Daphnia pulex: one gene and its partners. The main gene of each other region encodes a partner of the protein of the gene in region 3 in a complex. Links are inferred from orthologs where the notes say so. Each region holds a gene or a part of one and is shown on either strand. Other genes may lie near its edges.

What was found.
Region 1: transmembrane protein 17B-like (region 3) and B9 domain-containing protein 1-like share a complex: the UniProt entries of both Homo sapiens proteins name them as parts of the tectonic-like complex. The link is inferred for Daphnia pulex from reciprocal best matches to the Homo sapiens genes TMEM17 and B9D1.
Region 2: transmembrane protein 17B-like (region 3) and B9 domain-containing protein 2-like share a complex: the UniProt entries of both Homo sapiens proteins name them as parts of the tectonic-like complex. The link is inferred for Daphnia pulex from reciprocal best matches to the Homo sapiens genes TMEM17 and B9D2.

What each region holds. Positions count from the first base shown.
Region 1 is NC_060017.1:7,402,836-7,414,040, forward strand, and holds B9 domain-containing protein 1-like, read right to left. Parts: upstream 5,360-11,205; 5' UTR 4,893-5,359; coding exon 4,725-4,892; intron 4,643-4,724; coding exon 4,300-4,642; intron 4,223-4,299; coding exon 4,092-4,222; 3' UTR 3,234-4,091; downstream 1-3,233. Other genes in the region: prominin-like protein, read left to right, coding at 1-199, 377-535, 934-1,055, 1,700-1,756, 2,087-2,518, 2,636-2,645; protein catecholamines up-like, read right to left, coding at 5,641-5,892, 5,960-6,159, 6,225-7,041; importin subunit alpha-1-like, read left to right, coding at 7,559-7,621, 7,690-7,843, 7,898-8,048, 8,109-8,364, 8,422-8,934, 8,992-9,559, 9,621-9,898, 10,098-10,199; suppressor of cytokine signaling 6-like, read left to right, coding at 11,135-11,205. UniProt on the Homo sapiens protein: Component of the tectonic-like complex, a complex localized at the transition zone of primary cilia and acting as a barrier that prevents diffusion of transmembrane proteins between the cilia and plasma membranes.
Region 2 is NC_060024.1:10,634,340-10,644,252, reverse strand, and holds B9 domain-containing protein 2-like, read right to left. Parts: upstream 3,863-9,913; 5' UTR 3,822-3,862; coding exon 3,734-3,821; intron 3,649-3,733; coding exon 3,388-3,648; intron 3,302-3,387; coding exon 3,123-3,301; downstream 1-3,122. Other genes in the region: tectonic-3-like, read right to left, coding at 1,056-2,239, 2,317-3,109; GTP cyclohydrolase 1-like, read left to right, coding at 5,962-6,061, 6,735-6,923, 7,689-7,854, 7,934-8,050, 8,145-8,274. UniProt on the Homo sapiens protein: Component of the tectonic-like complex, a complex localized at the transition zone of primary cilia and acting as a barrier that prevents diffusion of transmembrane proteins between the cilia and plasma membranes.
Region 3 is NC_060027.1:834,062-845,110, reverse strand, and holds transmembrane protein 17B-like, read right to left. Parts: upstream 5,387-11,049; 5' UTR 5,363-5,386; coding exon 5,251-5,362; intron 5,163-5,250; coding exon 5,059-5,162; intron 4,989-5,058; coding exon 4,677-4,988; 3' UTR 3,709-4,676; downstream 1-3,708. Other genes in the region: derlin-2-like, read right to left, coding at 6,939-7,086, 7,172-7,335, 7,424-7,546, 7,617-7,784, 7,843-7,908, 7,972-8,064; high-affinity choline transporter 1-like, read left to right, coding at 9,790-9,988, 10,077-10,187, 10,262-10,429, 10,499-10,647, 10,706-10,985, 11,048-11,049. UniProt on the Homo sapiens protein: Transmembrane component of the tectonic-like complex, a complex localized at the transition zone of primary cilia and acting as a barrier that prevents diffusion of transmembrane proteins between the cilia and plasma membranes.

The DNA of each region.
Region 1 (11,205 bases), on a different chromosome or scaffold from region 3:
CTTCCTGTCGCGACTACAAAAGTCTGAATTGATTCCGATGAAAGAAGCAGCCCAGCGACTGCGCAAGGCGGCCGCCAATTTGGAAGAACGTGTCCGCTTCAATCAATCTAGCTTGTCGGAGGCTATTGAAATGCTAATTGGCCAGGCTGAATCCGCGCAGACCTTTCTCGAGAATAAAGGGCCCGAGCAATTGTCTAAGGTATATATAATAATCATAAAATAAAAAATTTGAAAAGAAAATCTTTCACGCTGGTGGGAACGACAGCGAGTTGATCGATCCGAGACAAATTGATGTATCGATCTCTCCGCTCCATCTCTCTCTTCCCTTTTATAAATTATTATATCTAACACAAAAGATGGATTGATTTATATGCAGTTGGCGGTTGAATTTGCCAAAGAGTGCGAGCGACTCATCGACCAATACGTCCAGCGGGTTACCGACCACGTCCTCTTTAAAGTCGGCAAATGTTGGCCGCTCTCGCAGGCCTACAATACTACATCAGCCGTGATCTGCCAACAAATCTTCTGGCCTTTTGTAAGTTTTCTCTCTCTCTGCGGCTGTATCCCGCCCCGGGATTAAAGTTGCTTCTTTTTTGTGTGTGTGCTTTTAAAAAATTGGATTCTTTGTTCTCGCTCCCCTTAGTCCTTTACTTGTTTCTTTTTTGTAAATCCGTTGGGTTTTTTGACTTATTGATTTCGTTTCAAAAGTTTGGTAGTGCGCGTTTTTTTCCTCTCTTTCCAATTCCCTACTTGAGTTGTGATGAATAGGTTAGGAATAACACATTCGACAGCGCTATTGGAAAAATGTGCTGGACTTGTATACTTTATTGTTTTTTCTTCTTCTATTTGAGAAGAGCAAAGTTTTCCTCCTTTTTTTCTTCCAGTTTAGTGATTCATTGTTGATCGATTTGTTGTTTCTCGACTTATATATAGAATGGATTCTGGGCCAGCGTTGGATGGTGCTGCCTCTTGTTTCTACCCTGCGTCGTTTTGGCTATGGTGCTAGCCTCCCTCTACAGGAAGACGGATCCTTATCCGGGTTCGATTGTCGAGAGGTAAGAGCGTGTTAATGGGAAGGAAAACAAAAAAATGCCGAGGCGGTAAAAGCCCCTCTCATATACCCGAAAAAGGAACATCTCTTTTTTTTTTCTTTCTTCTTTTTTTGGGTTATTTTTTTGATTTTACGATTATTTAAGGCCATTTCCTGACTGGATATCTTTTTATTGGGCGATGCATATCAAAGAGAAAAGAAACATTCCTCCCTGTTTGAAGAGAGAGAGAGAGAATAACTATGACATCCTTTCGTCATTCGGTTGAATTGGTGCCAAAGCTTTACTCTCTTTCTAGCATGAATTTCAGCTCTTTTTATATCATTGGATATTTTATTTATCATCGGGTATTTCTCTCGTTCTTGGTAGTATTTTATTTTTTTTTCAACCCCTCCCTCTAACAAAAAAATTGGTGATGGCGTGTAAATCATTTCTTTATTTTATTCGATGGCGTTGGTTGGTTGGTTGGTTGGTGGTGGTCTGGCTATTTTGCTTGTCTCTTTTCAAGTGAAAAAATATTGAACGATGATTTTTTTTTTTCTTCCGGGGGTTGTTTCCGCTATTTTTCTCTTCTTTTTTATTTTTTTTTTTATTCTTTTCATACCATTCCGGAAATCACAACACTTTTTCCTTCCGATATATTTCTTCAGAGAGTACTTGTATGATGCTTATGCCGACCGGGACAACATTCCATTGGCCTTAAACAAGTAAGACTTGATGGCTGTCTTCATCTCTTTTGATTTTTTTTTTCTTCTCCGTATTCTTCGTGTTGATTCAATTAACTTGACTGCATGCATTTTGAAAGGCTGGATATTAGAACGTTTTGCACGTACTGTGTATTTGTCTCAATATACTTGTCTTTTTCTGTCTTTCCTTTCTTTCTCTTCTTCTTAAAACAAAAGAAATGTTTTGGTCTTTTTTCCTTTTCTGTTTATGTTTCTGGTTTGTCCCTTTACGTTCAAAGAGATTTCTCCAACATCTGAATTGAAAATTCCATGTTTAACGAAAAAATTTCCATTTCTTTCCCCCAAAAAAAGTCGAGATCGTAGAGGCATCCCAGTCCCGAGCAACACCCGATCGGGTCACGCATACGGCCACGTTTACGGAGGCGCTTACGAAGACGATTACAGCATCTCGCAGCATCAGGCCAGGACGGGTAACGGGAGTGCCAGCAATCGTATCGGCGTCACTTCATCGGCTTCGAGTGGTGGCGGCGGAGTGAACTCTTCAACGGCCGTAGTGGCCCCGTCGGAACGCAATGGAAAGACACCCGGCCGCTTTCAAGATCCAGCTCCAAGAGCCTGGGGCGACGGAAGTGTTCCCCGTTACGTGGCATCTCCCACTCACGCTGCTGCCGCCGCTGCTACTGCCACATCGCCGTCCGCTGGAACTCCGGGAGGCGGAACCCCGTCCGCTCCATCCGCCGCCGACTACGAGAGACCTCCGCCGTATTACTATCCAGGACCAGCGTGAGTATTTTATTGATAAAAAGTCAGTCCTCTCAGCCTCTCGAGAGAGAGCAGCTGTGTGTCTACTCTCTTCAAGTTGATGATGGATTCTGAATGATTCTCGTCTTTTGATTGCAGCGATAAGTGAAAAGCTTTGATGATCTCGTCCTCGATTCCATCAACGTCCCGAATGACGTCTATCCTCCATTCTCTCCCCCCCGGCTGCTGCTTCCATTTCGAGTTGTTGTTTTTCGTCGCTGGATTGATGACGGAGGGGAAGCGGAAGTACTGATTGTTTTCCTCCACTTGTTCTTTTTTTCCATTTCGCGTGTCGTCGTGTTGCCGCGCATCTGCGCGCGCACACAGACGTCAAATGTTGTGTGTGTGTGTGTGTATACAATCCTCGGCGGAGCGATCGCGCGTGTGTGTGTATGTAAGAGTGAACGTGTTTGTACATTATTCATGAGTTTCAGAGTTTCATCTCTCCTCTCATCTCTTCAACAAAACAACAAAAAAAGTCCCGACTTGCACATGGATGCACTCCTCGCCCCCGGCCCCCCCCCCCTTTTATGTGATTTTTCTTGGCAATTTGTCTCTTTAAACGTGTGATGACATGTGCATTTGCTCCTACTTTATATGTGTATAACAGGATATAAAGGCGTGTTTGAGCATTCGAAACACGTACGTTTCTCTCTTGTCTCTGGTTGAACTCCCTGTCTATCTTTTTGGGTGGGGACTTGGGCCGCTGTTTCAAACTTTTTTCTTCTTCGTCGTCATCATCAGACCAAAGCCCAGTATAGTAAGGGATTTTCAATTCTTCCCTTTCTCTCTCTCTTACTTACTCACGGTTCGGTACTTTTGATGAGCAATTGAGGAGGAAGCAAAAAGTCTTTGTTGTTGTTGTTGTTGTTGATGAAATCTCTCTCTCTCTTTATAATATGATTCAATCAATACTTTTTCAATACCTTCTCAAACCAAACAGAAAAGAGTCAATCTCTTTTGTTGTTTTTTTAAAGCTCGGAGTAATCGAATCTCGATAAGTGTTTATTCTTATTCCCTCGTAAAAAAAAAAGAAATTTTGAAGAAAAAATGCCATTCAATTATTGAGGGGAGGAAACTAAATTTTTGATTGTTTGTTATACATGTCACCCGTTCCATATTTCTTCGTCTATCCGCTGTCATTAATTGAATCTTCCACCCCCCCTTTTTTGTATTATGTATAACAACACACAAAAGCTGCTGCCGCTGCTGGCGAACTTTTGAGAATTTCCGTCTCTTTTCACAGCTGGGACGGGCTAAAAAATTCAAAATTTTTTTTTTTTAAACATCAAACTACGATTTCATTCGTGTTTCTTCTTTTCTCCCCTGATTTTTGGCCGTCTTTTGAATTGTAAAATGACTCCCGCGGAATCTCGTCATTTAAGAGAATCATTCGCTCTTTGATGTCTTTAACCTCCCCCGCCACCCACCATTAATGGTGTCGTCTACTTAGTTGAAAACAAAATTAAAATAAAGAAATACACTCATTTCAAAGTGTTGCTCATATCCCTGTAGCCGTGTTCATTTATTTTGTAAATTTATAATTGATTTTGTCTTAAAAAATAGGCAAAGTGGATGATACTTTTTCCGGTCCACTGATTGATGAATCGTAGCCTAAACTTTGGAAATCTTTAAAAGTGGTGTGGAATTCGACCGTGACGTAGCCCAGAGTTTCCATTCGGAGAACTATACGAGAGAAAACAAATTGAATCAACTTTTGAAATAAAGTTATATAATTGAATAATAACTTGGTGGAGTATTACCGTCACGGCCTTCGTTGAGGGCAATAGTTTTGGGATCAATCAATTCAGGACGACGCCCGGTAAACCAACTGGTCCATTTGTGCAGAAGAGATTGTGACTGCGGCCGATAGATAGCCAGTGTTCTTGTGTAATGCCCAGCACAGATGGGCAAAACGGTGGAACCATAGCCGTATGCGACGTCATCGTTACCCAGCTCGTCGGGTCCATAAAGACTGACGATCATTCTAGGCCATCCGTGGGGATTCGTGCTCTTCCACGACGATTGTAAAGGAAAATTCCACACCAATTCTCGGCCCCCAGATGACTTTTGAATGGCTAGCTGACTTAACCCTTCTTCAATACCCTGTGCGTCAAACGAAGAGCTGCAAAGTCATTTTTCTACAATAAAAAAAAAAACAAACAAAGTTGACTGTGTATCTAGTTACGTGGCAGAAGATCCAGTCAGCTCCGTGGTGATAGCAAGTTTTGACGTAAAGTTGGGAATTGAGCGGGAATTCTCCGTGCCGGATTTGGCCTTGGACGGAATAATAAAAGCTGGTTGCTATCAGAGGAGTAGATGTGACGGGTCCATTTGAAGTTGCTACCGATGTCATTCTAAATTAAGATGTGCTTGACTGGAAAAAAACGTTAAGAATTCTCTACATCACAACAATATACACCGACTGCTGGCTCGTTTGTTTCGATTGTCGGGCTGACTCGTTGCCATGGTTACGTCTAATATATGCCGCCGCCCCTATGACTACGTAGCGAAATAAATGGGGGCATTATTCAATTTTTCTGCATTTTAGCGATTGTATCTTTCTATTCAGTAATGAAATGAATGAGTTAACTTGTATGATGAATAAGTCATCAAAATAATAAAGAGAATAAGTGAAAGTCAAAATTTTGTAGACTCGTCTCGGCGCCCAGTCAAAGGGAATTGCTCAATCTGGTATCAGTTACCGCACAAACTACACACAATAGCCAACATTGTTCTATTTCCTATATGGTTTTTATTTACAGTTGTCGCCTTTCACTGATAACGCAATTTCAATGAATAAACCACCTTTGATTGAATAGTAACCAAGTAGACTTATAGGCTCATCTTACCCTCCCAGCGTTGTTTGCTCAGTTAAAGTTCAATAAAAAGCTAAATTTTAAAAATTAAAAATAAGAAAAAATATAATAGAATCGTGAAATTTATTTTATACCTTTATTAAGTATCTTGCTCGGGTGACAAAACAATTACAAGGCATAATGCAGGCTAGACAATGGGTTCGAAGTGGTAGAAATGAAAGTTAAAATCCATCGTCTAGCCCTGCCAGATGGGATTTAGATAGAAACAATTTGTATCTCAATTTTTCATTCATATTCGGCTATCAAAACCATCATATAGACACCAGCTAACAAGGCAGCGATTTCCATTAAAGTTTGTGAGAATTTGCTGTTTTCTAAAAGCTCAGGAATGACAGAAACGGTGGCAATGTAAATGAATCCACCGGCTGTGAACGGAAGGATCCAGGCAGTAGCAGCAGCACCGATTCCTTCTGCTAATAAAGAAACTGCACATCCAGTAAGAGCTCCCACTGCTGTAATAAGCTGCAAAAAGATAGCCTGTCCAATAGAAAGTGGAGAATTAAGATTCCTGTTACTTTGAGATTGTCGGAGCGTTTGAAATTACTTTTTTGCGATCACAGCCTGACTGAATGAGAATGGCGAAATCCCCGATCTCGTGGGGAACTTCGTGCAACAAAACTGTGACTGTTGTTACGATTCCTGTACTTCTTCCAGCCAAAAATGACGCACCAATAGCCAAGCCATCAGTGAAGTTGTGGGTAAAATCCGCAGCCAGGTTCAAATATCCAGCTACCTTGATGTCTCCTAAAGAAATGGAATAATACAACAGATTTAATGACATACTACCAAAAAATAAACTAAATATTTACCAGAGGGTTTGGCAACCTCCTTGGTTTTCTTTTCCTTCTTTTCTTTGGCTTTTCCGTCTTTCGCATCTTTTGCATCAGTTGTTTTATCCTTCTTGGGTTCAGCATGACTGTGGCTGTGACCTTGGCCACCTTTAAGAATTCTAACAAACTTTTCAACAGCAAGGAAGGCAATAATGCCGCAGAGAACCCAAAGTCCAACAGTCATGTCGTGCCCATGAGAATGACCCTCTCCATGAGAATGTCCATGAGAATGCGAATGAGGTTCCTCATCTTCAGAATGAGCCATCAATGCATGCGGAATCAAATGTAGGAAAGCATCACCAAGAAGTCCACCGGAAGCAAAGCTAAGTAAAACTTTTAACAAGGGCTGTCGTTCAGGGCTGCTGTCAATGGGAATGAAAAAAAGCACAATGAACGGTGCTACACTAATGATTAGAGTGGAACCAATGGCTTCTGTCCATAAGGCAGCAGTTGTCCTTTTGGGAGCTTCAACATTTTCTGTGTGATGGTCATGATGATGATCATGTAAGTGTTCATCATGATCATGTGAGTGTCCGTGATGTTCGTGCGAATGCCCATGGTGATGTTCCTTTTCTATTTTCTTGGCTGGGGGTGGAGGAGGTTTCGGAATATTCGCTTCCTTGGAATACTTAAATGAAGGCCGCTCTTCTACATGATCGTGCGAGTGTCCATGATGATCATGTGAATGTCCGTGATGGTCGTGAGAGTGAGAATGGCAAAACTGTGGAAGTGTCAAAAAAATTCCTACCAAGAGCAGAAAACTGCAGAGTTTTACGACGAACCTTCGGTCAAGCATTTTGACAGACCGAATGAAAGCGCTTCAAGTCTGACGTGTTAAACAGCTGGTAATACTCGGGCTCAGAGTCAGACTCTCTGACGCGGTGACAGACCTTCACAACAAAAAACATGATTTAAAATATTACCCTTACCTATTCTTTAAAAAAATATAATAATTAAATAATTTGTTTTTCTTAGTTGTTTACAATTTGTTTGATAATTGCCAATTTGTTAGTACACGCAAAAAAGCTTAGAGATCACCTAGACAGGCGTCAAAATTTACATCACCGACGCCACCTAGCACCTACATCCAAGTCTTCATTGATCTCACACTAGATGACGTCTTTGTAATTTCATCTGAATATTTTTATTTGGCAACATCAACATCAGTAAATGTAAAAATGGCGTATTTAAAAAACTTTTCAGTTTTCATGTTTTCAGTCTCAGCAGCATTGTCTCAGTCGTTGGTTTAACTGTTCCCATGTGTTTGTCACTTCCGTGATTCAAGAGAATTGGACAAAACATCAACTATCAAAATGACAACTGAAGCAAATCCCACCCTGTTGAAGGACATCAATCATAATTGCAGAGGATATGAGGTAATAAGCTTTAGATAGTCAAATGTCATTTATTAAATTAAACAAATTGTTCATCTTTCATGTATGAGATGAATGTTAATTTGCAGGAAGTCAAGAAGGAAGATCACATGCTGTATAATAGATACAACCAATACATCCTTGAAGTCTACGATGAGGACCTCAGCCCTCTTGAAGTACTAAAATGCATGGCTGCAGCGAAGAGCATTGAGGACATAGTTAATGGTATAGTTTTTTTTCTATGTAACATATATTCTCATATGAATCTTTATACTGTAGGTATCAACAGTGGTGATGTAAACAAGGAGATTACAGCAACCAATGCTATACGTAAATTCCTATCTGAGGAACACAATCCAGCACTCATTCGTATCCTCATCAATGCTAATGTTGTTCCCAAGCTAGTAGAATTCCTTAGTCGTGTCAAAAAGTATGTTGTGTCTTTAAATTGGTCTTATTCAAACATTTCTTCATGACATTTTTGTTTTAGCGCTGAACTTCAGTTAGAGTCAGCCAGGACTCTCACCACCATTGTGCTATGCAGATCTTTTCAGGTCCAAGCTGTGGTCAGTGCTGGGGCTATTGCTGGTTTCATGTCAATGTTGAGTTCACCTCATCCAGTTACGGCCGAGCAAGCTGTCCGGGCGCTCGGCATTATTGCGAAAGACGGACCAAAGTTAAGAGATTACTTAATCGAGCAAGGATTTATAAAGGCGATGCTCAGTTTGGTCAAATCTAACTCTTCAGTAAGTTTATTTTTGAAACCTTGGTGAACATTTATTATTAACCGATTTCAATATTAGGCTACATTATTGCGTAGCGTCACTTCGACTTTGTCCAACTTGTGTCGCTATTTGGGTGGGAGTGTCCTTGCCGTCCGACAGCTTCTTCCTGCCCTGTACCACCTAATCCACGCAAATGACGAGGAGATTCTCGCCACCGCTTGCATGGCTCTCTCTCATCTCACTGATGGCCCGAAAGAAATAAAGAAAGAAGTTATCAACGCCGGAGTCGTCCCTCGGCTCGTTGAGCTATTCTATCACAAAGAAGAGACCGTAATTTACCCCACGCTGATGGTAATCGGCTACATTGCTTATTCAGGCGAAGACATATCTGATGAGATCGAAGCTTTTGTCAGCGCTGGGGCTGTTGCTGGGATGATTCATTTGTTAGATTCACCTCATCCAGTTGTAGTGGAACATGCTGCCTGGGTTCTGGGTAACTTTGCCAATCAGGGAGCAGAGATAAGAGATTTTTTAATTGAGGAAGGCATTATTAAGCCATTGGTATCCTTGATTAATAAACCCGACACTCCAGTAAATAAATTTTTTAATTAACCTTTAGAAACAAATAATAATTGACTTCATTATTAGGTTAAATTGTTGCAAGAAGTCACTGTGACCTTGACCAACTTGTGTGGTGGATACGAGGACAGTCCACTCAGTGTCCCGGCAGTCCGACAGCTTATTCCCGCCCTGGCCCACCTTCTCAACTCCAACGACAGCGATATTCTCGTCTGCGCTTCCATGGCTCTATCTAATCTCTCTGCTGATGGTCACGACGAACGAATCCAAGATGTTGTCGACACTGGAGTCGTTCCTCGGCTCATTTCTTTGTTGGACAAAAATAGATTAAACGATGATTTTGTAATCTCCATGGCTCTGTCGATAATCGCCAACATCGTCACAGCCAATGATAGTCAAACCGATTCCGTCCTGGCTGCTGGTGCCTGCCCGGCGCTGGCCAAGTTACTTGCTCATTCCGATTTGGAAATCGTCAAACGGGCTGCCCGGACCGTGGCGAAGATTGCTGCAGGCAACGCCACCCAGATTCAAGCTCTCATTACCAACAACGTTATTCGTCCGTTAGTGGACGTGCTGGGCAATGGCGACTTCAAATGCCAAAAGGCAGCAGCTTTGGCCATTACCAACATCACTATGGGTAATTTATTTAAGTTTTACTGGTGTTGATTAATTTTTAAATGCTGTCTTTTAAATTTCAGGTGGCAATGTCGAGCAGATCGCTTTGTTGTGTCAGTTTGGTGCCGTTGCTCCGCTGTGCACTTTGCTGGAGACCAAGAAACCCAAGACTATCGTGGTCGTATTGGATTGCTTAGCTAATATTTTGGCGGCTGCCAAGAAAATGGGCGAGCTGGAGAAAGTTTCTCTTGACGTAAGAGTGTGTGGTGGCTTGGATTTAATCGAAGTTTTGGTTATCCACAACAATGTTGATATTTCTCTCAAGTCGCTGGCTGTTCTGAAGCAGTATTTCTCCACTGACGTAAATTATTTTATATTATGGCTTATTTTCCTTTTTTTTTTCATGATTACCAGTTTACCATAATTGTTCACATTCAAAGTATTTGTGTTGACAACTTGACCGTTACTGAGATTTTAGAAAACTATTTTTTTTTTTAATTTTTTTTTTCATTTTGATTTAATTGGTTTTTTGTTTGTTTTTTTTTTTTTACTTTTGACAGAGGGATGAAGATTCTGAGTTGGCGCCATCGATATCGCAGAGTGGCAATTACGAATTCAACACCCAGCCATTTCAAACCCCTGAAGGAGGTTTCTCATTCTAAATTTTGTAAATCTAAAATTCTTTTTTCTGCATATACAACGGTCAATATATTCTTCACTTCTTCCCCATCCTAACCATGAGTTTCGGCCTTTTCTTTAAAGTTTTTTTTTTCTAATTTTTTGAAATTCAAAGTTGCCATGCACGTCTCTTTCCTCTTTCTCTACAGAACAACTCGATCACAGCTGTGCATTTGATTCGTTTGATTTTGTCGTGCTAGTTTTTTTTTTGTAGATAATATACTGCCGAAATAAAAACAAATGCTTTTCATAAATGAAGGGTACGTTTAAATAATGCAAACAGGACCACTTCAATTTTGGAGTGATGACAAGTATTGATGATCAGTGCACGGATTTCCTTTGCGCATTAGTTGGGCCATCCAAATTTTTATCATTTGGCATTAAAAAAAAGAACCCCATTGTTTTTTTTTTCTGGGAATCAGGTAATTTATGGTGTCGGCACTCGGAAGTTTGATTGGGTATCTGTCATCCCGTGATTTCCAGTTTTCCACGCAAATCTTGAAATGTAGTGTGTTATCTTTTATGATCCAAAGTCTTGGTAAAAAAGCATCTGTATGGAGAAAGTAACAGCTAGGGCAGACTCCAGAATAACATAATAAAATAATATATAAATTTTATCTATTAAGCTTCATCCTTCGCCAATATTTCTTTACGTTTATTTTTTAAATTACTGATGTACTCTATATAAAACTCGAATAAACTTGTTGTTTTTTGAAAAATGTTGAATATTTGTGATGATTTTGAAATTTTTTCTACAAGATGTCACCACTAACAAGGCCTGCAAGAAGGCTTTCGTTGTCATGTTAGGTCGTGTTGGTTTATTGATAACGTGATAACGTGATCAAACGCAAATGAACCGAAGTCGAAAGTGTGGAAAGTTGTTGATGGATCATAACAGAGTTTTCTCAAATCATCTGCAATGAAAAAACTCAACTGGAGTGGTTTGGACTTTCTTCGGAGAGACCGAGGAGCTATCGCACGCGAATCGAA
Region 2 (9,913 bases), on a different chromosome or scaffold from region 3:
CAACGGGGTGCCGGGTGCATCAGGACACATCTATTATTTTGTTGGTCGTCTAACATTTTTTTTTGGAGGGGGTTTGGTTGTAAAATTGAATTAGAAATCTTCCTCATGGTGAACTTTATGGTTATTTAGCGGCGACCGAGTCAGCGAGGGTTATCGGCGAGCAAATTGAGACGGTCACCGGGGTCGGGACATTTCAAAATAAAGTCTAGTACTAGAACAAAAACAAAAAGTATTTAGAAATGTGTGTAGGTACATGCCCTCCCCAACAAATTCCGACCGTCCGCACCCACTGTCGGTTCATGTTCCTCCGTGAACCGGCCCGAAAGTTCACCTTTTTTTCGTTCAACTCTGCTGTGGCATTTTCCAAATATGAACAGACGGGAGGGGGGATCCTGTATCTCTATCGTCGTTCTGATCAGACTTGGATATAATCGTATAGTCGAACGTATAGTAGTAGGAGTATAGTACCTCCTTATATTTCTCTGTGTTTGGGTGGGTGTGGTTTTTTGGCTTCGCACTTTCCTCGACGGTTGAAGTCGCCGTCCTTTTTGTGTGTCTTTTTTTCTTTTCCGCTGTCTGCCCCGGTGGATGTTGTTGTTGTTGTTTTGACTTTTTCAGAGTCGCCGCGCTAGCGCGTAATCCTCCCGTCGATATATCGGATGCGATGATCCTGTGCGCTAGCCAAGGAAAAAAAAAAGTTTTCACTCTTTTTCCTGTTTCGGAATGTTATAATAATACTATGTTACTCGTTTTTCTTGTCACGCGATATCATCCTTTTATGCAGAAGAACTTGCGACTCTCGACTTCTACTATTTCCATTATAAATTTAAACCTGTTTTCTTTTTTTTTCTTTTATTATTATCTTTTCTTTTTTAATACTTTAGTGATCCTCTCTCTTCTCTTTCATGGCTTCACTTCGGTTCCTATCTTTTTGCCAGCATTATTGTTATTATTTGTTATTTGTAACCCTAGACGCCATCTAGCGGTCGAAAAAGTCAATTGATAAGAAATTCTCCGCTTTTTATTTTTCCAAAATAGGAGACAGTGAACGCCATCTAACGGCCATAAAACACGACGACGAGGAATAGAGGAAGCGTGATGGACGGACTTAATAATACGCTTCCGGCCGAGGACAAAAGAAAGGGATAAAAGAAATCGTGAGGTAACTGGATTTTCCAACGGGGCGGTTGAGGCAGAACCATGAACGTGGGAGAATCCGACATGACGAACGAAACGGTTTGACTCAGCTGGAGGGAGCACCTGTTGGACGATTCGACGAGGCAATCCGCACCGGACGACCTCAGCGTCAACCCAGCGCCCAGCAGTTTGTTCTGCGGTTGGTCGTACGACCCCGATTTGGCGTAGGCGACGACCAGTTGGCCGTGGATGAGCGAATCGAAGCAGCTCAGCTCTTCCGTCTGGATCCTGATGGCCAGCCACAGGGCGGAGACTTCCGTCTCGTTCAACTCGACGTTGCCGAAAGCCCCCAAGCGAAGCAGTTGCAATTGCGGACCCCAGAAAGATTCCAGGACGAAGTGGCTCCAGTTTGCACACCATTGAGTCCGGTTGTCCATCTTGATCCCATTCATACGGAAAGCGTGGTAACTGTCCTCTCCAAATCGGATCAGCCGGGCTTTGGGCGTGCCGGGGAAGACGTCCAGCGTTTGGTAAGCTCCTTCCCCGCTGGACGAGTTCAATTTGGCAACCAGAAGGGGTTTGCCCGTCAGGTAGCCAGGGTTTCCCGACCGTGTTCTCAGCGGATTATTCGCACCGCCACTCGGTCGGTTCATTTCGGCCAGTGATTGATGGATCGTTTGGAAACGGACCGGTCCCGCCGACGCCGACGTGTAGAGCAGATCCGCCAAAACGGAGCGGATGCCTTCTGTCCCGTTGTGAGTAATGCGCAACGTCACGGCGGTCAGCGAATTCCGACAGCTGGGCTCAGGTGCTGGAAGATCCGATCTGCATTCGGAATAAGAGTTCTCGCAGATTCTAACAACCACCGGCGCCAACTTGTCCATGTCGCCCCATCGGGCGCTGCTATTGCCGTTCCCGTTGAAAGAGACCGAATAAGACGGAAGCCGGAAGACAGCTAAATTGGCCAGCCATTCTTCAAGACGAATCGTTGGACGGCATCGATCCTCGCCCGGCAGACTGCACTGGTAATCGTTATCAGATTCCAGGAAATGGACCGTTTGGGCCGTGTTGCACGAAGCGCTATTGAGCGAACGCGGTAAATCTGACAAATGAAATTGCAATTAAAACAAATTCGCATCAATAATTCAATTTAAAAAAAAATGAATTTCAGGCAATTACTCAAGACGCTAACGATCCCGTTGATATGGAGAGTGAAGATGGGCGACCCTTGCTTGTAGTACGGCTGATAAATCCATTGTTCCAATCCGGCACTGGGTTCTTGGCTCTCCGGATCGTTCCATCTGCCGGACAATTTGGGCGAGATGTGCTTGAAAAGCTCATCTTCGGTAACGGGAGCTTGATCTTCGAACAATCTCTTTTTAGGGACGTTGTCTGTGACGATGCAGAACATTCCGCTGCGAGAACTCCACTGGACGCGGAATTCCGGCGTATTGTTCCATACGAGTCCGTAACGATCAGGATCCGGCGAGCAATAGTAACGGTCGAAATACGAACTGGGCGGCGACCAGCAGCCATTTAATAGGCGGAGGTCGTCCTGGCTGCAGTCGGGATCGCAGCAGCAGTTGACGTCACACTCTCCGCCAATCAAATCGCAAGTGCAGAAGAACAAATTGTAATCGAACGGATCCGATTCCGGTTGTTCGGGAGCGACGGTCGTTGTCGGAATGGATTCCGACGACGACTCGGTGTTGAGATAAAGGAAAATATTCTCATCTAGATTTATATCTGCTGTTGATAAGGAATTGGTTAAATTCTCTGACATAGGTGTCGCCGCCGTCGTCGAATCGGTGCTCGACTGGTTTTTTCGATTCAAGTCGGTTTGGTTATTACTTTCAGATTGATCGACTGCTGTACTTTGCGTCGCGGACTGGGTAAAGACGAAAGTTTTGGAGATGAGCAGGGCAAATTGTAGAATCACGAATAGCAGCTGAAGGGTGGGTAACTTGGCCATTTTCTTTTGACGTCTAGTACTCGATGCCAAACTTTTTGAAATCGCGGAAGACTAATCCTATTTCCAAGTAGACTCTTCCGGTGGCTTCAGTTCTCAAACGGGATCGATCGGCTCCGTTTTGGATTCGCTCTGCGTCAGCCAACTCGACTCCACCGCCAATGAAATGACGCATCAACTCCTCAGTGAATGTACCTTTTAAAAAACCAGAATTGATCACTCTGAACTCCTAAACGGACAGGTTTTACTTTTTACAAAGGGAACGAAGAAAAAATAAAAACCTAAAGGTCTCCAGGCCGGAGCGTCGATGTAGTGGATGCCGGGACGTGTAGGAATGGATGCAGATGCGTAGCCTATCAAATTGGTTCGTGAGTAAGCGTCCAGGTGGTAAATCTGTAGGTGAATTTGCGGCCAGCCTTGAAGACCTCGAGTAGCCCAGTGCACGTCCAGTGGATGATTCCAGCTGCTCACAGAACCGATTTGTGGTGTGTCAAGTTGCGTCTGGCCTTCAGTGGCTCCTTCTAGAACACGCCAATTTTCACCTGTGATGTTTCACAATTCAAAACGTTAACGAGCCCGATCACATTTAAAGAGAGAAAGCGCACGTCAAAGCCGATTGGCACCTACCTGAAGATAATTGCCAGCGACAGCAAATTGATTTCTCGGAAAACTCTGTTCCGCCGATGATTTGCCCGATTAAATGTAGTTCTGCCATATCCCTTTTTCCATCCCACTACTAATATGAGAGAGACGCCAACTACTCGAAAAGAAAACAAACAAAAGGTTGCCATGGGTGATCTAGTTACTATGACAATGGCAAAGTCGTCTGCTTGTTTGTCAAGATAGTTTTGTTGTTTTTTTAAGAGACACGATTTGAATCCGGTTTTCCTTTTGTATAACTTATCCAACAAAGATTTTGATCTTATCTTATTACATGTAGAACCCTCAATAAAGCGAGAACAGTAATAGTAGTATTAGTTTCAACCTAGAAATAACTAGTGGCGTTCGTTGTACTGAATTGAGAGTTTAAAAGTTGGACCAGTTTTTTTTTCCTACAAATTTCTCAGAATATTTTTGTTTGGATATTAACAAGATCTTTTTTGTGTGTTGGCTAACTTTTAAAGTTTCCTGGCTTTCAAAGATCTTTATTTCACTTCATTGCAAGTTTAAATTGGCACACATGTTCATTGAACCGTCACAATCTCTCAAGTAAGTATATATATTTGTTTCAACCATTTGGATTTTGTTGCACAATTTTACTTTCAAAAATATTATAATCTATTTTATGTTGAAATATTTGCAGTTTCCATGTGGATGGTATGGAAGCCTTGACCTAGTCTTTCAACAGTAGCAGATCTGTCTCCAACCTTGCTCGATTTAAAAGGCAGGTGTCATTTCAATATTTGCATCACTTCATCACAAGCAATAGTTTTATTAGCCAAACTTGTACAAGTTTTGCTCTATATAACCATAAACTTGTACAAGTTTTGCTCTATATAACCAATTAACCATAAATTTGTACAAGTTTGGCTTTAATGGCTTATAATTTTAGTAATTTTTTTATAGCGATTGATCTATGGAACTTTGTGTAATTTGAAATGCTATTTGAAATTATTGTCACTTATTTCATATCCAATCAATGTTGATGGATTCTGATGAAATCTGTTAATGTAATTGATTGAACGTCCAAAGTGTGGCCATCGATCATCAGTTTGTAGTTTGTACAGTATATTGTGTCGTCGGTGCTGCACATACGCAAACAATTTTTGATGGGCATTATTCACAAGCTGATAGTAAAAACAACCGATAGATAAATCTTGTTGCGCAACTTGCCCCATAAGTTGAATGGATCGTGGGTGGGGAGGGGGGGAAAGTAGATCGATTCAAACCTTCTACAGTGCCCCTTGAGGGCACCGTGTTGCAGTTCTCAACGCTCGATGAATGAACATGAGATCAGCTTTTAGCGTTCGAGTCGTTTGATCCAATCTACTCTCTCACAGAAGCAATCGATCCGTAGATGCATCAAGTCCCGCCGTCGGCTTGGGTGGGTCGGGAGTGGAAAATAAATGGCATTTTCATCAAAGATTCATCAAGGCACTCTCTATGGGCGATTGAATTCTTGTTAAAGTCTTTCGCGCTGCTGCCCCCGCGCTCCTCAATATATTTCGTATATTCGATTGACATTTTTGGCCGGGGGAAAAAAAAAATCTGATAATTGCATACAGCGAGACGATAAAGGAAGAGGATACCAATGTTCTTGGTCTACGTGACAGGGTTCCCTATATGTGAGGCGTTCACTTATTCGGAACTGCAGTTCAATGCACTTGCATCAAATTTAGCGTTTTTTCCCGCCAAACTTTCCTCGACACTTTTTATCTAATTTGCTCTAGCTACACCTTAATCACCTATTTTTTTGGTTGCTGTTCACTTTCTATTAAACGAGATCTATCAAATGCGGACTGATTGAGTGTTATATAAGCTTGCGGCGTTATTGGGTAACCCGAATATGAAACGAGAGCATTGTTGCTTTGCTTCTCGGCGTGCGCCCTACGCACTATATAAAGAAGGTCGGCAGAAGAGAGGTTCAGTCCCTTCACAGTCTCCGGAGCAACAGCACCAGTAGTGGCAGAACCAACAGGCAGCTGGACATTTAGTTTAAAAATATATATATATATTATTTCTCAAAAAAAGATTAGGTACAGAATCAAGAAAATGACTTTTCCATTGTTAAATTTCCCGTTTTTTTTTCCATTTTACTGTTTGAATAGGAAAAATACTAAAATAGCAAGATTTATTTGTAATCTTTTTTTTTTTCAATTTTCAATCTTTAGATCAATCAATCTGATACTACTAACATGGAAGCTTTCAAAGGCAGTAAGCCAGTAGCTGGAGCGGCTGTCACAAACGGAGATGATCCCGAGTGTAAATCCATCACTAATGGACTACGGACAATCGGTTAGTTTCCACTTTCCTTCCTCTACTTTGAGTTTAAGACAAATGCTGTTGAGGTTTAAGCTGGTTTTTTTTCCATTCATTCTTTCAAATGTGTCGCGTAGAAACGCCCTGGGCTCGGTTCGTAATCTATGTGAAAGCCTTAAATGCGAATAAAAAGCTTTCAAATTTGGTCCGAACTCCACGAGATGTCTAGTCGAGATTTAGAAAATGAGGTTCAAAGAGTTGTGTGTGTGTCGTGTGTGACAACTGATCGTGGTAATACCTAGATCGCACATATAAAGGAATACCCCACAAATATCTGGTCTCATTTTTGACAAGACAATGTACTTTGCTCCTCGTCTGATATGCTAAGCATGAAAATTCGAGACGGTTGACGATCGATACATATGTATTCAGTTCTGGGACATCGAATGAAATCAACCGAGGTTCAGCTTTCTCCGGGAAAATCTAATTTCATCAGAAACCTGCTGATAACTATAGCCCAAATTTTTTGCCAGAATGATGTAGCAAATTAAATTACGGGACCTATGGGGAATTCAACGACTTGGATCTTATTACGTTTCTAATCAAGGCCCAGCATCCTACTTTTACATGACGTCAATTACAAGTCAAAATAAAAATGATGATTATTGTAAAACATATTTTTGTGTTTATTTCTTTTCTTTTTTATTAGATGTCGATAATCTGCGGAGTTCTCCACGTCTGAATCGCGAGGACATGTTACCGTCAATGGTGGAGTCGTATCGTTCCTTGCTGTCCGATGTTGGGGAGGACCCATGTCGCCAAGGGCTGCTGAAAACGCCCGAGAGAGCGGCCAAAGCTTTCCTCTTTTTCACAAAAGGATATGAACAGACGCTAGAAGGTTATTCCAAGACATCATTCATGCCAATCAATCTTGTCTTGCAGATTTCTTTCTTTTCTTTTCTCCTCGTCCAATCTCTGAAGAAACGTTTCTTTCCCGTTAGATGTCTGTAATTAAATGACGGGCCGTTGTTGATTACTAGGGCAGCGCTTAAAGGCATCTTCCATTCTACTCGGCTGTGAAAGCGCTTTCATTCCCGCACGCCGGGATGATGAGCCGGCCGTCAACAATCCCCTTTTTTTTATTAGTGCTGTTTTATGGTTTACTGTTTCCATCCCGTCCGGCACAAGACCCCCTCCCGAAATGATTTTCTCCGCGATTTAAGATGAGCAGCCTTAAAGGGATATTCGTTTGACTTGCTATTCTCGTAGGAGTGATTGGTCCCATTCTTCGACTTCTGCGAACATTCTTCCTGATTGCTGCCTGTTGAGCACGAGCCCCTCCAAGAAAAATTCCTTGTCGCTAGATAGACGGTCCTCGCAGTACGTGACGCGTCTAACTTTCACCAGATTGCTGGCACGCGATCGATATCGTGCGGGGGTAGATGATGAAAAGCAGCTTAGTTAGGAATTGTCCTTTTCGTTTCGCGTGTCACTTAACCGACTTTTTTTTCGTCTTAGTTTCATTTTTTTTTTTCATTTCACTGTCTCGTTTGGTGGGGCTGAATGTCTTTGTTCATAATCATTGCCTACGTGACAGTTTGACAGCTGGCGCCGCCTATCTTATTAAACTCTCAAGTCATTTGTTATTATTTTCATTTGACAGAGGTTTTGAACGATGCCATTTTTGATGAAAACCACGACGAAATGGTCGTGGTCAAAGACATTGAAATGTTTTCCATGTGCGAACATCATTTGGTACCGTTCATCGGTAAAGTGTCCATCGGTTATTTGCCCAACGGCAAAGTTCTTGGACTGTCCAAATTGGCCAGGTTTGCTGTTCATTTGAATATCTAATTTTGAATGAAATAAAATATAACAGGTTTTTCTTTTTGTTTTTTTCCAAAACAGGATTGTGGAGATCTACAGTCGTCGCTTACAAGTCCAGGAGAGGTTGACCAAACAAATTGCACTGGCCGTGTGTGAGGCGGTAACGCCCCACGGAGTCGGCGTTGTAGTAGAAGCAACGTAAATATTTGAACATTGTTAATTCATCATTTGTTACAGCACAATTGATTGGATGATTCATTGATCTCCTTTTATTGTTGTGCTCATTTTGCAGACACATGTGTATGGTCATGCGGGGCGTTCAGAAGATCAACGCCAAGACAGTCACTTCCGCCATGTTGGGCGGATTCCGTGATGACTCCAAGACACGCGAAGAATTTCTAACTTTTGTGCGCACTCCTTGACCCCGGTTTTTTCGTAGTAATAATGTTTCTTTGCCAATCCGGAATACGACTCCATCATCCAAATTACCGAATGACATCACTTATTACTCATTTCCAACAGTCCTGCCTGAGGAATGTGTTAAGTAGCACTGCATAAGTTCGCTGCGTACAGGAACCATGACCCTGCCACAAGAATGTATCAATTAGTATTGTCTCGTATCGTTGTGGGGACCATGATTACCATCAGCATATTATTATCAACTTTAACAAAAATTCTCATTAATCAAATATTATTACAGTTTGTCCATCTTTTTATAATTTTTTTCGTTTAGCTAGCTGTGTTTGCGAATATTGAAACATTCCATTTCAATGGTAACTTTTTTTTTAATTGATACGTTACGTTACATTTTGGTGTGACTTAAGATATTATTTATATCAACAGCATCGATTGATAATATATTCGTGTCTTTGAAAAATATAGAGCTTATCTGGATCGTTTTCGTTTTAATGGATTGTCAATAAATGGATACTAGATTAGATTCATTCGATAAATATTTTGTCATTTTTGCTTTCAAAGGAACCGCTGCATTGCCGCAGCATTGTTGGGATGCAAAATAAGCCATCTACCGGTGTTAGTTTGGACTTTGTCATAAGTGTCCACTATGGCCTATGGCTGCTCTCTGTTTGCTTCGTCAGGTGTAAAGTTCTGTAACATGTAATAATTTGGTTCTCACTTCAACGGCTTCTGTTTTGTTTTGAAGTGGCTTACCATTTTATCATCTTCTCTGTTCTTTACCAGGTAAATAGTTCAAATCTATGTGTCCTGTACGCCGGTCCCGTAGCTTGGCTTACAATCGTGTGACAGATAACCCTGACAACACCAAACTTTGCTGCTGAACTCTACTGTTTTTCCCCCTTGTCAACCATCATTAAACTGGCTAGCCGAGTACCAAAAGTGTTTCGTATATTAACAATTATGTGCAAGAATTTTCCTTGTGAAATACTCTGGATGACTGAGCAGACTTAATTACTTAGGAACCAGCATCTCTGGAATTCTTCTAAAACTCGCTTGCAGTCTCAGCAGCAGCTCGGTCCTTTTATCAAGCACAGGTTGCAATGCCATAAATGTATTTAGGAAAGAATTGCCCACAGCTTGCTTCATATCTCTTTATCCCAAAGAATTCTGTGGTATTTCATGGCTGGCACAGTGTGTGTGCTTAAAACGGTCACACCAACTGTTTTCGTAGCCAGAGGCTGTGTGATTTTGTTCAGAGTCATTGTTATTCAGCAGCTGCTCTTGTGCATCAGAGATGTCCAAAAGGAGATGCAAACCTTGTTCCAGTCGCAGGCCTAAACCAAATAGAATATTCTGATTCTCCCTCCATACCTTTTGCGTTTTGAAAATGAAAACACAATGTGTCAGGAGAGTGTTGCGACCGTAAAGAGAAACTGAAGAGAATGACCACGTCGTCATAGAGAGTAATCAACAAATTTCTAAACTGATTTTGCAAACTGCTGACGATGTCGAAAGTGGAGCGGATGGCTCGCTCTATTCTCTGCCCGATAATTATGTCCCTGGTGATCATGTAACCCAATGTAAATGGTCCAAGGTAGGAGGAGCTATTTAAATCAGTCGAAGTGTCCATATGGTCTAGAGAGA
Region 3 (11,049 bases):
CGGTTCACCTGTACTCCTAAGAGAGAGAGAGAGTGGACAAAAAACATTTTCTGGAAATGATATCAACTCGTCTTAAAAGATCAGATGAAATGTGAGGCAATATGTAAATCGACTACTACTTCCATAGAATTATAGAACAGATACAAATCACACGGGACTGTTAGAAACAGCCGGGACCGTATTGGGCCTACATTCACGCGTTCAACGGCCCTCCCTTTTTTTCTTTTTCCAAGGGGGAGAGAACGAAACGGGTTAAATCGCCCTGTAGCTATATGAAAATGTGAAACGAAGATGCCCATATATCAGGGTTGATCAACCCTTTTTTTATTTGATTTTATGTTTTGGTAGCGGACGTGATGTGGCGTTGGCATCGCCCAGATCTACTATGTCGATGGCCTAAACTCCGGGACGGAACGAACCAAATAATAACGACCGACCGTCCGTCCGTCCGTCTGTCTGTCCGGCTATACAGAGTGGGCCCAGCTCACATGGCCGACAACCTTGGGAGATGCATAGGCAACAGCAGGCGCCGGGACCAGCGCTTCAAAAACGTGAGGGAAACAAACAACAGCCCCAAACGGAGGTACGTGAATTTTCCTACAAACATTTCGGGATTCCCGAACGAACGCTAGTCGGCTTTTCTTGGACGACCGACACGTGTGCTCGAAACGTGCCCTCAAAAAAATCATCGCCCTGTACTACGACTTGTCCTGGCTCCTTTTGAATTTCATATTCAATGAAAACTTGTACGTACATATTAGAATTGAATATCAAAGAAACATTTGCCGGAGCGTGAGTAGTGTAATAAATCTGAAGTCAGAGAAATTTTTTTAAAAACTTATTTCTGAGAAAAATAAAATAAAATAAAATTAAGGGGATGTGAATGCATAGATTTTTTTGGTACGTGCTAGATGTGTAGAATACTACTCCCGTATATATTATAATACAGGGCTCTTATAAATGTTGATCAAATGAACGTGAATTCCATATCGGGGCTCGACAACCCTTTTTCTTTTTTAAAATATTCTTGTTTAGCCCCAAAAAGATTTTTGTTTTTGTTTTGTTTTTATCTTTTATATTTTTCCCGCTCGCTAGCTGGCTGCACGATCATCGCCCCCAATTTAAATATCTCGGACAACCCAGCAGCAGCACCGGCCGGCTCGGCGCTCTTCTCCCGCTATAAAGGGCTCACGCGTGCATACTTTATATATCCCCAAGGTCTCTGGCATGTCTGTCGGGTCCCGGGTTGAACGCACTCGCTCCATACACACGAGATATTTATTTCCCCAGTCTGTATAGCAGAAGTTATATATATATATTTATTTCCCCAGTTTTTCGGAATTTTCGGGTAGATTTATGAACGTCACGTAGGCCTCTCTCTCTCCCGCTTCATTTGAATTTCATTTTTTTTTGTTTTTTTTTATTATTGTCCCGCATTTATAGCATTTGATTTATTTTCCCGGACGACTGATTCAGTTTGTAGGCCGTCATCTTCGATCGGACGTCCCTCAATCACAGTACGGCCACCTGATTTGTACATTTTTTTAAAAGTTGAATCATATTGAACGTATTGAATTTGAGTAGGAAATGAAATTGAATTATTTACGCTGCTGTTGCATGGGAAGGATCCTTTGGGGAGGACGAAACTGAAGAGCTGGAAGCCTCCCAGGTGATTGCGACGGGCCGATCCGTTGGCGGATGACAGCATCGAATAAAGACAATACAAAACGACGGAGAATAGGACGGCACAGATGACCTTTAGTGCGCCAATTTCATCCATTTTTCTTTTTCTTTTTATTACAGGCGCCTCTGTGTGTGTTTTGGCCGGACCTTGGTGAATTTTTAATGCCAACTGAATTCAGTTTTTTTTTTCCTTTTCTTTTTCCGGGGCTGGACTGTTTCCAACTGGAAACGACCAAAATTTCCCAACGTCGTCGTCGCGATTTTTTCTTTTTTTTCTTTTACTGGGAATTTTGGATCGGAATTTTAAGGACACGCTAGGGCATCGGGTCGACGAACATTTTTTTTCTGTTTGACTCGAGAAAGAGATTGAAAATTTGTCCTAAAAATCAGGGACTATTTTTTTTAAATAATTAAAAAAAAAAAAAAAAATTGAAATTTTTTCCACATTTCGAATTTGTCCGCTTAATTTTTTAAAAAAATATTTTGTAAAATATTTCTGGGAACAACCGCAATGGAAATTGCATTATATTTCCCGAGATATTTCTGACCAGAGATATCGTCTAAAAATTGACACTAGGTATATAGCCTACCAATAGAATAGATATTATAGGACATTTTATAGTTAACTGCATCGGGGATTTCGGCCTCCGTTGCGTCATTCATTTTTTTAAGAAAGAAAAAAAAAACCATTTCTAAATATATATTTTAGTCCAATATATAATTACCTACGGGGAATTGTGAGTCTCTACGTCAACAACTTTATGGGGTATAGTATTTATTTGTGTATCGCTGCTATGCAGCCTTTAAAGATAGCCCCCCCCCAACAACTCTGAACACAAATGACGTACAGTGTCCCAAATGAATTATCTGGCGTAGGATAACTTGACCACTATTTCTCGCTGGTCTAAATATACTCACGTGTGTTGTTGTTAGTAAATACCCTGGTGAATTCCGATAACACTTATGTAATTTTCCATTTTTTTTGTGAATTTTTATCAGTAATTAGCAGTTTATCTTCGTTTTACTGAATTCGCCAGTTGCAGTGAATTAACGAATATTATTTGTTGACTTTTTGAGTCTAAAAATCATCTCTGGTGAATTACGAAAAAATGTTGCGTAATATTTTTGTTTCTATGAGCATTTGGACAGTTTGATGTCGTTGAATTGAAATGGCCCAGCTTCATCGGAAGATTTCATCTCCTGGCAGTTGTTTTTCAATGACATTCAAGTTCACAATGTACACATAAAAACGGCCCGTGTGGGAATAAGTTCTGTTGAACTTTGTTTATGCGTACACACACGGCCGTCACACAAGGTTTTTAAAACGTAACGTTTAGACATTTATAATGAAACAGTTTACGACTTTTGGCATTTGACTTTAAAATGACAATGGCCAAATTATTCCCACAACTGGGAATAAACTCGAATCGCAATTTGGAAAAAATAAAAGTCAGAATAAGAGAAGAGAAATAAAAGTTGACTCTCAGATGAAATTGTCCTATGCGATTTCAACTTAAAATCAATTGGCGATTCCAATGAAATAAAATTCATTTGTGTCATCAGTCACGTAGGCTGATGACGTTTCGCCAGTTTAATGGACTGACCTTTTTTTTCAGGTAAATTGACGAAAAGATTTCGGTCCAAAATGACGTGTTGGAACACGTCACAACTCGTTTCCGCCCACCTCAACGACCATTTTCTTTTTCATTTCTTTTCCCACGTTCCTCCCACACCCTTCTAATTAAAGGACTTGTTAATTTCGCAAGTGGATAAACGTCCGACAAGGTGAATGGGAAAGGGGGAGAACTCTGATAGTGTGTGCATGCTGCACAGTCATCGTTTGGACATTTTGGAATTTCCTATACATGAAAGAATTAGAAATATCAAAACCCCCGTGGGAAATTTCGAAAAAAAGTCACGACCTCGCGGACACCAAGTTCACTGGCCGGCCGGCCGTCAAATCGCCCAGCAAGGTGATCACCCCCTTAAAAAAAAAATGTATTACTCAATCAATGACAAAAATAATCAATTTTCGCAATTTTGTGTGTATTAAATTGGGGAATTTCCCCACCAAAATGTCTCAGGTGAGTGTGTCTGTGCTCCGGCCTGATCCATCAATCAATTACACCTGTAGATCTAAATGTTTTGGAATTGCTAATCGTGTTGATTAAACGAATTAAAAGGGGCGACAAAAGAAGAAGAAGAAGAAGAAGAAAAAAAATGGTTATATACGACAGAAGGGGAGAAAAGCAGGTCAAGGTATAACATCAACAGGTCAGAGGCATCGAGCTGCTGCTGCTGCTGGTATACGTCTCCGAGTCCTTCAGATTCTTCTTCTTCTTCTTGTATAAGACGAAAAAAAGATTTCCCCCAAAACTCGTGGTGACCTCGTCGAGTGTAGTGATGCCGATGACCTGTCGAATTGTTTTATTTGTGTGCGACACAAAACAGAAAACAAAAAGGGGAAATAACAAGCTCTTGAGACGATATCTTTTCACACCCTCTCCCTATCTTCGTTTTTCTGTCCAAACACCATTTGGATGTTCTTCTTCTTCTTCTTCTTCTGTGGCGATCCTGTGAGATTCTCTGACTCATCGGACCTCCTTTCACTTATTTGGTTGCTGCTTATTTGTTGAGTATAGTTTAGTGTGGTAGTAGTCGTAGTAGTCGGAGTCTGTGTGTGTGTGTGTTTCATTCCGCCATGTCAAGGTCGCTGGTCACTCGCCAGAAAAAAGAAGAAAAAACCCCAACAAAATTCCAGCGAGCGGTTCGCGTGCATATAGATACTACCAAAAGAGTTCTCTCTCTCTCTTTTTCATTTTCATTTTCATCTCTCTCTCTGTCTATCTGATTCTTTTTCGTCGTCTCACACAGAACCCTGATGCGCTTTTATAACGAAAGAAAAACCTGTCGACACGAGGTGGAAATTAAAGTAAGAGAGAGAGAGAGAGAGACGTAGAGGTATAGTTTCTCTCTCGCCTGGCTCAAGGTTTCTAAAATTGGCGAAGGCGGGCCACGTTACGAAGTGTGGCGAACGAGACACACAGCTGGACTGCCATCAGGAGACTGGAGATGGACAAGGCGACAATCTCCAGGATCTGGCTCAGGCTGAGTGCCACGATCAGGATGATTGTCACAAGTGGCAGCTGGACCAGGAGTGTGGTGAACCAGAAGGTGGACAGCTCTGCCACTTGCTCGCTCAGGTTGCCAGACATGCCCAAGTAGATCCTGGTGGCTTCCGTCACACAGCAGGCAGAGACTCCAATTCCAAGAAGGAGATACGAGAACCAGCCAAAACATTGGTGCTGCCAAATGTAGCAAGAGATGATGAGTGAAATGTAAGACAATGACTTTTTCTTCGTATTATGTAAATACCTTTGCCACAAATGATGCCAGGATGATCGCCAGCCACACTGGGTAGTAGACCAAGTTGAAGTATAGTGACATTTGCAGTACCAAACTTGATTGGACATCATAAACTTTGCTCCATAAAACAATCAAACGTTTAGCATAAAGTACGAGACGCAATAGATAGAACTTGAATGATTTGAGAAGAATTGAAGTTACCTATGTCACTTTGACCCGATACGAATGAGAAATCTTGAGGTATATCCGACAGACCTGGAAATATTCTATCGCTGAAAGAATCCACAACATTTTGAACTGATTGTCTTCCCATTATTTCATCGCTTTCGACGATGGCTTTTGGCTATGAACGAAATGACAGCCGATTGTTTTGGGCATTTCAAACTGGGCGCCATGGCAACGACTCTAGCAGAACAACTCAGCTGTTTTCATTCGTGACTTTCTCCCGTCACAGTATTACATGTGCTGTGTGGTACACGTACAAACTTGTTTTGTGAATAAAATACTTGGCGATTATATTAGAGCAAGTAAGCTGTGAAAAAACTTGTAGGATCGATGGCTGGAAAATTATTTTTCATCTTTCTTGTCCAGGTTTCACAATCCAAACATGGGAAACTGGCAACTGGAAGCAGCCAAAATGGGGATGTACATGATTTTCCCAGTTGGTTGTTTCTATTACTTTAACCAGGCAGAGTATTTTGAAGATTGGATGATCAATCTGAGGAGAGAAATGTACCCTGCCGAAAGCAGGGTGAACAAAAAGATGTTTGAGGACACCATTCGCCAAATGAAGGAGAAAGAGGAACGGGAATATCTCAGACTACTTGAGGAGAAGGAAAGAAAAAATAATGCCTAAGTTGTCTGTTTCTTAATTAGATTTATGTATACAAGAGTCAATTTCAACTAAATTTATTTGATTTCTTTCGTCATCGTGCAGGTTTGATTTCTACTTATCTCTTCAATTCTAGACTATAACATTCCCAACTCCAGTATCTGCTTCCACTATCTGGTGGACTAAACATCTTTAAGCAGTTCAAAAGATCCTTGAAGAAACAAAACAAAATTGAGGACTGCGTGTGTGATCAGGGCAGTGAACTCGCTGTAGCATAAGCCTTTCCCAATGCAGCATCATCTCTGTAGCAGGTCAGGATTAGAAAATCAAATGACTCCAAACAAATAGCAAGTCTTGTTAGTTTGACAGATTTGCGACCTTCAAGTTGTGTATTTGGAAATCTTTGGCGCATTCACTACAAACAAGGCGTCGTAATGCAATCGAGTTTTTTGGACATTTATGCTTCAGATGGGAATGTATCATTTTCAAGGTTGACAACTGCTCCTTCCTATTTGTTGGCTTGAAACAAAATCGCTGTGCGCTCGGTGCAAACTTGGACGTTCAAAGAACCTTTTCACTAGAATTCGCAATCGGTTATCTCAGATTGACTTATGGTCGGTCCGCCTCCCCTTCATCTCTGAGCTAGCGAAAAAGGGAATAGTCTTGTTTATTCACATCAATAGAATATTAATTCATTATCTAGTGCGCTCCGATTTTGATTGTGTGTTCCCAAAATGTTCGAGTTGGATGGGCGAAGAACTGCACTATGGACACTACGAGTACGGTTGATTGCGTGTAAACTTGACACGGTTAAAAGATGGCCATAAAAGGAGAAAGGGGAAAGCGCTGGATATTTGTAAACGTTGCAACAAAGCAGTATGTCAATGCTAGTCGGTCATTGGTAAGCGAAAGAAAACCGGGCCACTGTGTAGAAGGAATAATGAGGGCGAACATCGACAACTGTATATTAAACAAATTTCCATGTATTTTCTTTTGCCATTTAGTAATTTTTCAAAAAGACGATTGTGTTTGTTTCTCTTTTTTTTCTTTCTTTTCCTCACTGATTTTCGTTTTCTCTCGGCTGGTCGGCGACTGCGTCTGCCACTCCCGGAGCACCAGCACCGCCCCAATCGAAACCCCCAGGACGCTCGTCAGGAGCCGGATTGTAAAGAGGGTCTTCAGTGTGCGTGTCGAACAAAAGTTTCCTAGGGGGGGAAAAGAAAAGAAACCGTGAACCCCTTGACCGATCTTTGATGTTTTTCTTTTCGAGAATGCCAAATTGTTGCATACAGTAAACGAGGCGTGGCCAAGAGTCTTCTGCCTCCAGGCTGATTAGGAAACACATCTTCCAGGAAGAAATACAAGTGACCGATGGCGATCCCGAGAATGTCCACCAATACGCTATTGCCTAAAAGAACTGAAAAAGCCACGAGAACCCAAGGCAAATATGGGGCCTATAAAAATGTCAGGATAGAGAAAAAAATTATCGGTTAATTTTCGCACAGGGTGTTTTGAATTTTGCAGTTGCTTTGTCCTATTTACTCGAAAAGGTAGAAGGCCGAAGAAATTCATCCTAACGTAAGGATTTCTCCGAGCCCAAATATAGACGAACATCGTGGTGAGCGAATGTCCAAGGAACAATAAATTTACAAACCAAGCACATATCTAAAAACATGAGAAAAGCAAATAGTTAAAAAAACTTGAAACAGGAATTCATGCAAATTTTCATAATTACCACTGTTGTGATGCAGCCAAATATGAACATGTAAACAAAATCAGCTGTTCTACCTCTGAATGAACCCTCCTCCAACATTCTACAATAGCGATAGGTAAAAATCATGTTGAACAGAAAATTGAAGCTGAATGTCCCAAAAAAGAAGAATGGAGTCAGTAGCCTCCATATCTGCAAATACAAGATTACATGATTTGGCTACCATACAAAAGCAAACCAATCCTATTACCTCAAACTTTTGAGTGATGAGCAAAGGATTGAAATACAGTTGAAAAGGTGACACCACATCCAGTTGCTGAAAAGGAAATGTTTTGCAGTCGATTACTGAGTCCCTTTCAAAGTTTCGAGTGTTACTTACCACTGCAATTGAAGTGAGCAAGCAAACAGTGGTGTATGCCCGAGTTACTGGAGGCATCAACATATACTCTTGGCGTAATGTGTGGTAAGCCATGGTGCTTTCTTGTAATTGATTTCATCAACAGTCAACTAAGATGATGTTTTATCACTTAAATTGTATACTGTTATTGTATACAAAGGACTATGACCAGCTCAAACACGAACCTCAAATAAGAAAAACAATTTATGAATACCTAGAAATACAATCAAGAAACGATTTATCCAAAAATGTAAGGATTTCGCGAAACACTACCAACCATCGTTTTTCCCAAGAGTCAAATTGGTTTGTTTATTTTTTCTTTTAACAAACCCCCCTTGGTCGACGTGGACAATTTGTAGAGGCTACAGCAGAAACGGAAATGTCAAAAAAAGGGAATTCCAAAGATCAATTTTTGGTTGCTATTGCAACGGTGTAAATGGCGCCTCTTTTGATGTAGCAGACAACTTTTTGATTATTATTCCATCCAAGATTCGAGTGATTTGAACCGTTGGAACCTCAGTTTATTTTGACTAAATTGAATTTGTTGACGTAACCCCTAGTTTTTATTTTTCATTTCGGGTCTTGGCGATAAATCATCCATCTTCTACTTTATTTATTATTGGGAGGGAGATGATGAAACTGGAAGTAGGTGCATTCAGTGCAGTCTTGCAGATAAAACAAAAACACATGGTCGAGTGTCGTAGTTCGTATATTTGGTTTGAAAAATGGTTGGCTACAATTTCCACGGTTATTGACTTTTGTGAAACTCTAAATTCTTCTTAATGTGAAAGGATATATGCAACTTGAGTAACAGTTCATGCTGGGATAGGTGATTGAGCAACCATCTTCACATCACAAAACAAGTATTTTACTCTTACATAATTATTCGATGAGTGTGTTTTCTTTTTACTATAGCCTGGTACATGTTGACCGACCACAATTCATGTATCAATTTCTAGGAACAGATTAGGTAATAAAGAATACAAAGAAAGGAATTGGCTCTCTCATAAGATAGAAAATTACATAGCAGTAGCTTTCATTATTTTATCTGTAAATTCTACTACAGCTAGTAAGTTGTGTAATGATTTGAGATGCTGAAAGGCTTTTTTGTTTCTGGCAGAGCCATTAATGTATACTGGAACAAGGCCAGCAAGATGCATACCTTCTGTAATTCTATTTTTGGGATACCCTCATTTCTCCCTCTAACTCTTCCAAAGGCCACTTTTATTGAGTCTCTAGTACACTTCCCGTTATACCACGTCGTCTCTCCCCCAATGCAAAAATTCACTACACAACTGTTGCGTTTTGCAGTAAAATCTTGAATTGTTTTTACTTTTATAGGAGCACGAAATCTAGACGAGAGAGGTACGCCAATCAACGGTCGTTGCTACCAAAAACTCTAGTGCAAGAAATTGAGTAAAGGAAACTGGGCAGACATTACTCTCTTGCCTCATCATCGCCGTGACTACTAGAAGACAATCTAGTGTCTCGTTTGACGACCAAAAGATCACGTGACAGATGTGTATCATTTTCAACCATATCGTCGCGACGCTGAACATCCGCCGCACGTGCGCAGTCATATAGAGTGAGGAACATCGGCTGCAGTCGCACCTACGCCTGGCTCTCCAATCGGTTTTTGCTGTCTGACTAGACTGGCCGAGTGATAAGTTATAGCGACGCCGTCAAACGTAAGATATCGTCGTCGTAGCCTTTTGTTATTATCCCTATATTTCGGTTTTACCTTTTCAGTTGACCTTGTGACAATTTATCACTTTGGCTTGTCCAGTTTTTTGTTTACAGATGAACGTGAATATCGGTGGCGTCATCTCTGTGGCTTTCTTCTACTGTTTGATCCTGGCCGTTGGAATTTGGGTAGGATGGAAGGAAAAGAGGAAATTTAAACAGCTACAGCGGATGGAAAGCGGTGCTAACCTGTCGGAGAACATAATGCTGGCCGGACGTGATATGGGATTGTTCGTCGGAGTCCTGACGATGACGGGTAACGATGAGTGTTGTCCCGATTCAGTATACAAGAGGGGTAGATTTGGTTTCCAACAAGCAGGTTTAAACAACAACAACTACGACAGCGACGTGGGTAGCAGGAGGTTACATCAACGGCACCTGTGAAAGCGCCTTCACTGGTGGCTTTCTAAAATGCTCTACAATGGCGATCGGATATTCCATGAGCCTCTTACTTGGTGTGTGTGTGTTTGCCTCATTAGTGTGTCTATAGTAAATCATGTTTCATCATTTTTATTCTTTGGATAAAAAGGTGGAATGTTTTTCGCTAAACCCATGCGAATGGCCCACGGAGGTCGAGGATATGTTACCATGCTCGATCCCTTCCAGGAAAAATACGGCTCACGTATTGGTGGGCTATTGTTTTTGCCGGCCCTGTGCGGGGAGATATTCTGGTCCGCTGCTATCCTGTCGGCCCTTGGTGACGCATTAGAAAAACTTTTTTAAATGTTGGCTGTCAAAATGTTTTAATTTTAGCATTATGCAATAGGATCCATTTTCACCGTCATGCTGGGACTGGACAATACTCTGTCGATAATCATAAGTGCTGCTGTGGCTGTTACTTACACCTTGATTGGAGGCCTTTACAGCGTGGCCTATACTGACGTCATTCAACTGGGATGTGTTCTCTTTGGCCTGGTATTTCCATTTTTCAAATCCAACATTCAGTTGACTGAATTTCTCGTTGCAATCATAGGTATTCTGCATTCCGTTTGTCTGGACTCATCCGGCCGTTGACCACGAGGCTATGAGCGAGGTTGATTGGTTAGGTACAATTCCGCTGTCCTCTGTCGGTAGCTACGTCGACATTTATCTGCTCATCATCCTTGGCGGAATTCCTTGGCAAGTTTATTTTCAGCGGGTTTTGGCGTGTCGATCTCCTCGACAGGCCCAGTACCTGTCTTACATTGCTGCTCTTGGATGCCTTACCCTGGCCGTCCCACCTGCCGTTTTAGGTTCCGTTGCCCGAGTCGTTGGTAAATTTACCCTCTTGTGATTTCTTCTTACACGGTGATTAAAACTAAGCAGTTTGACACAGAC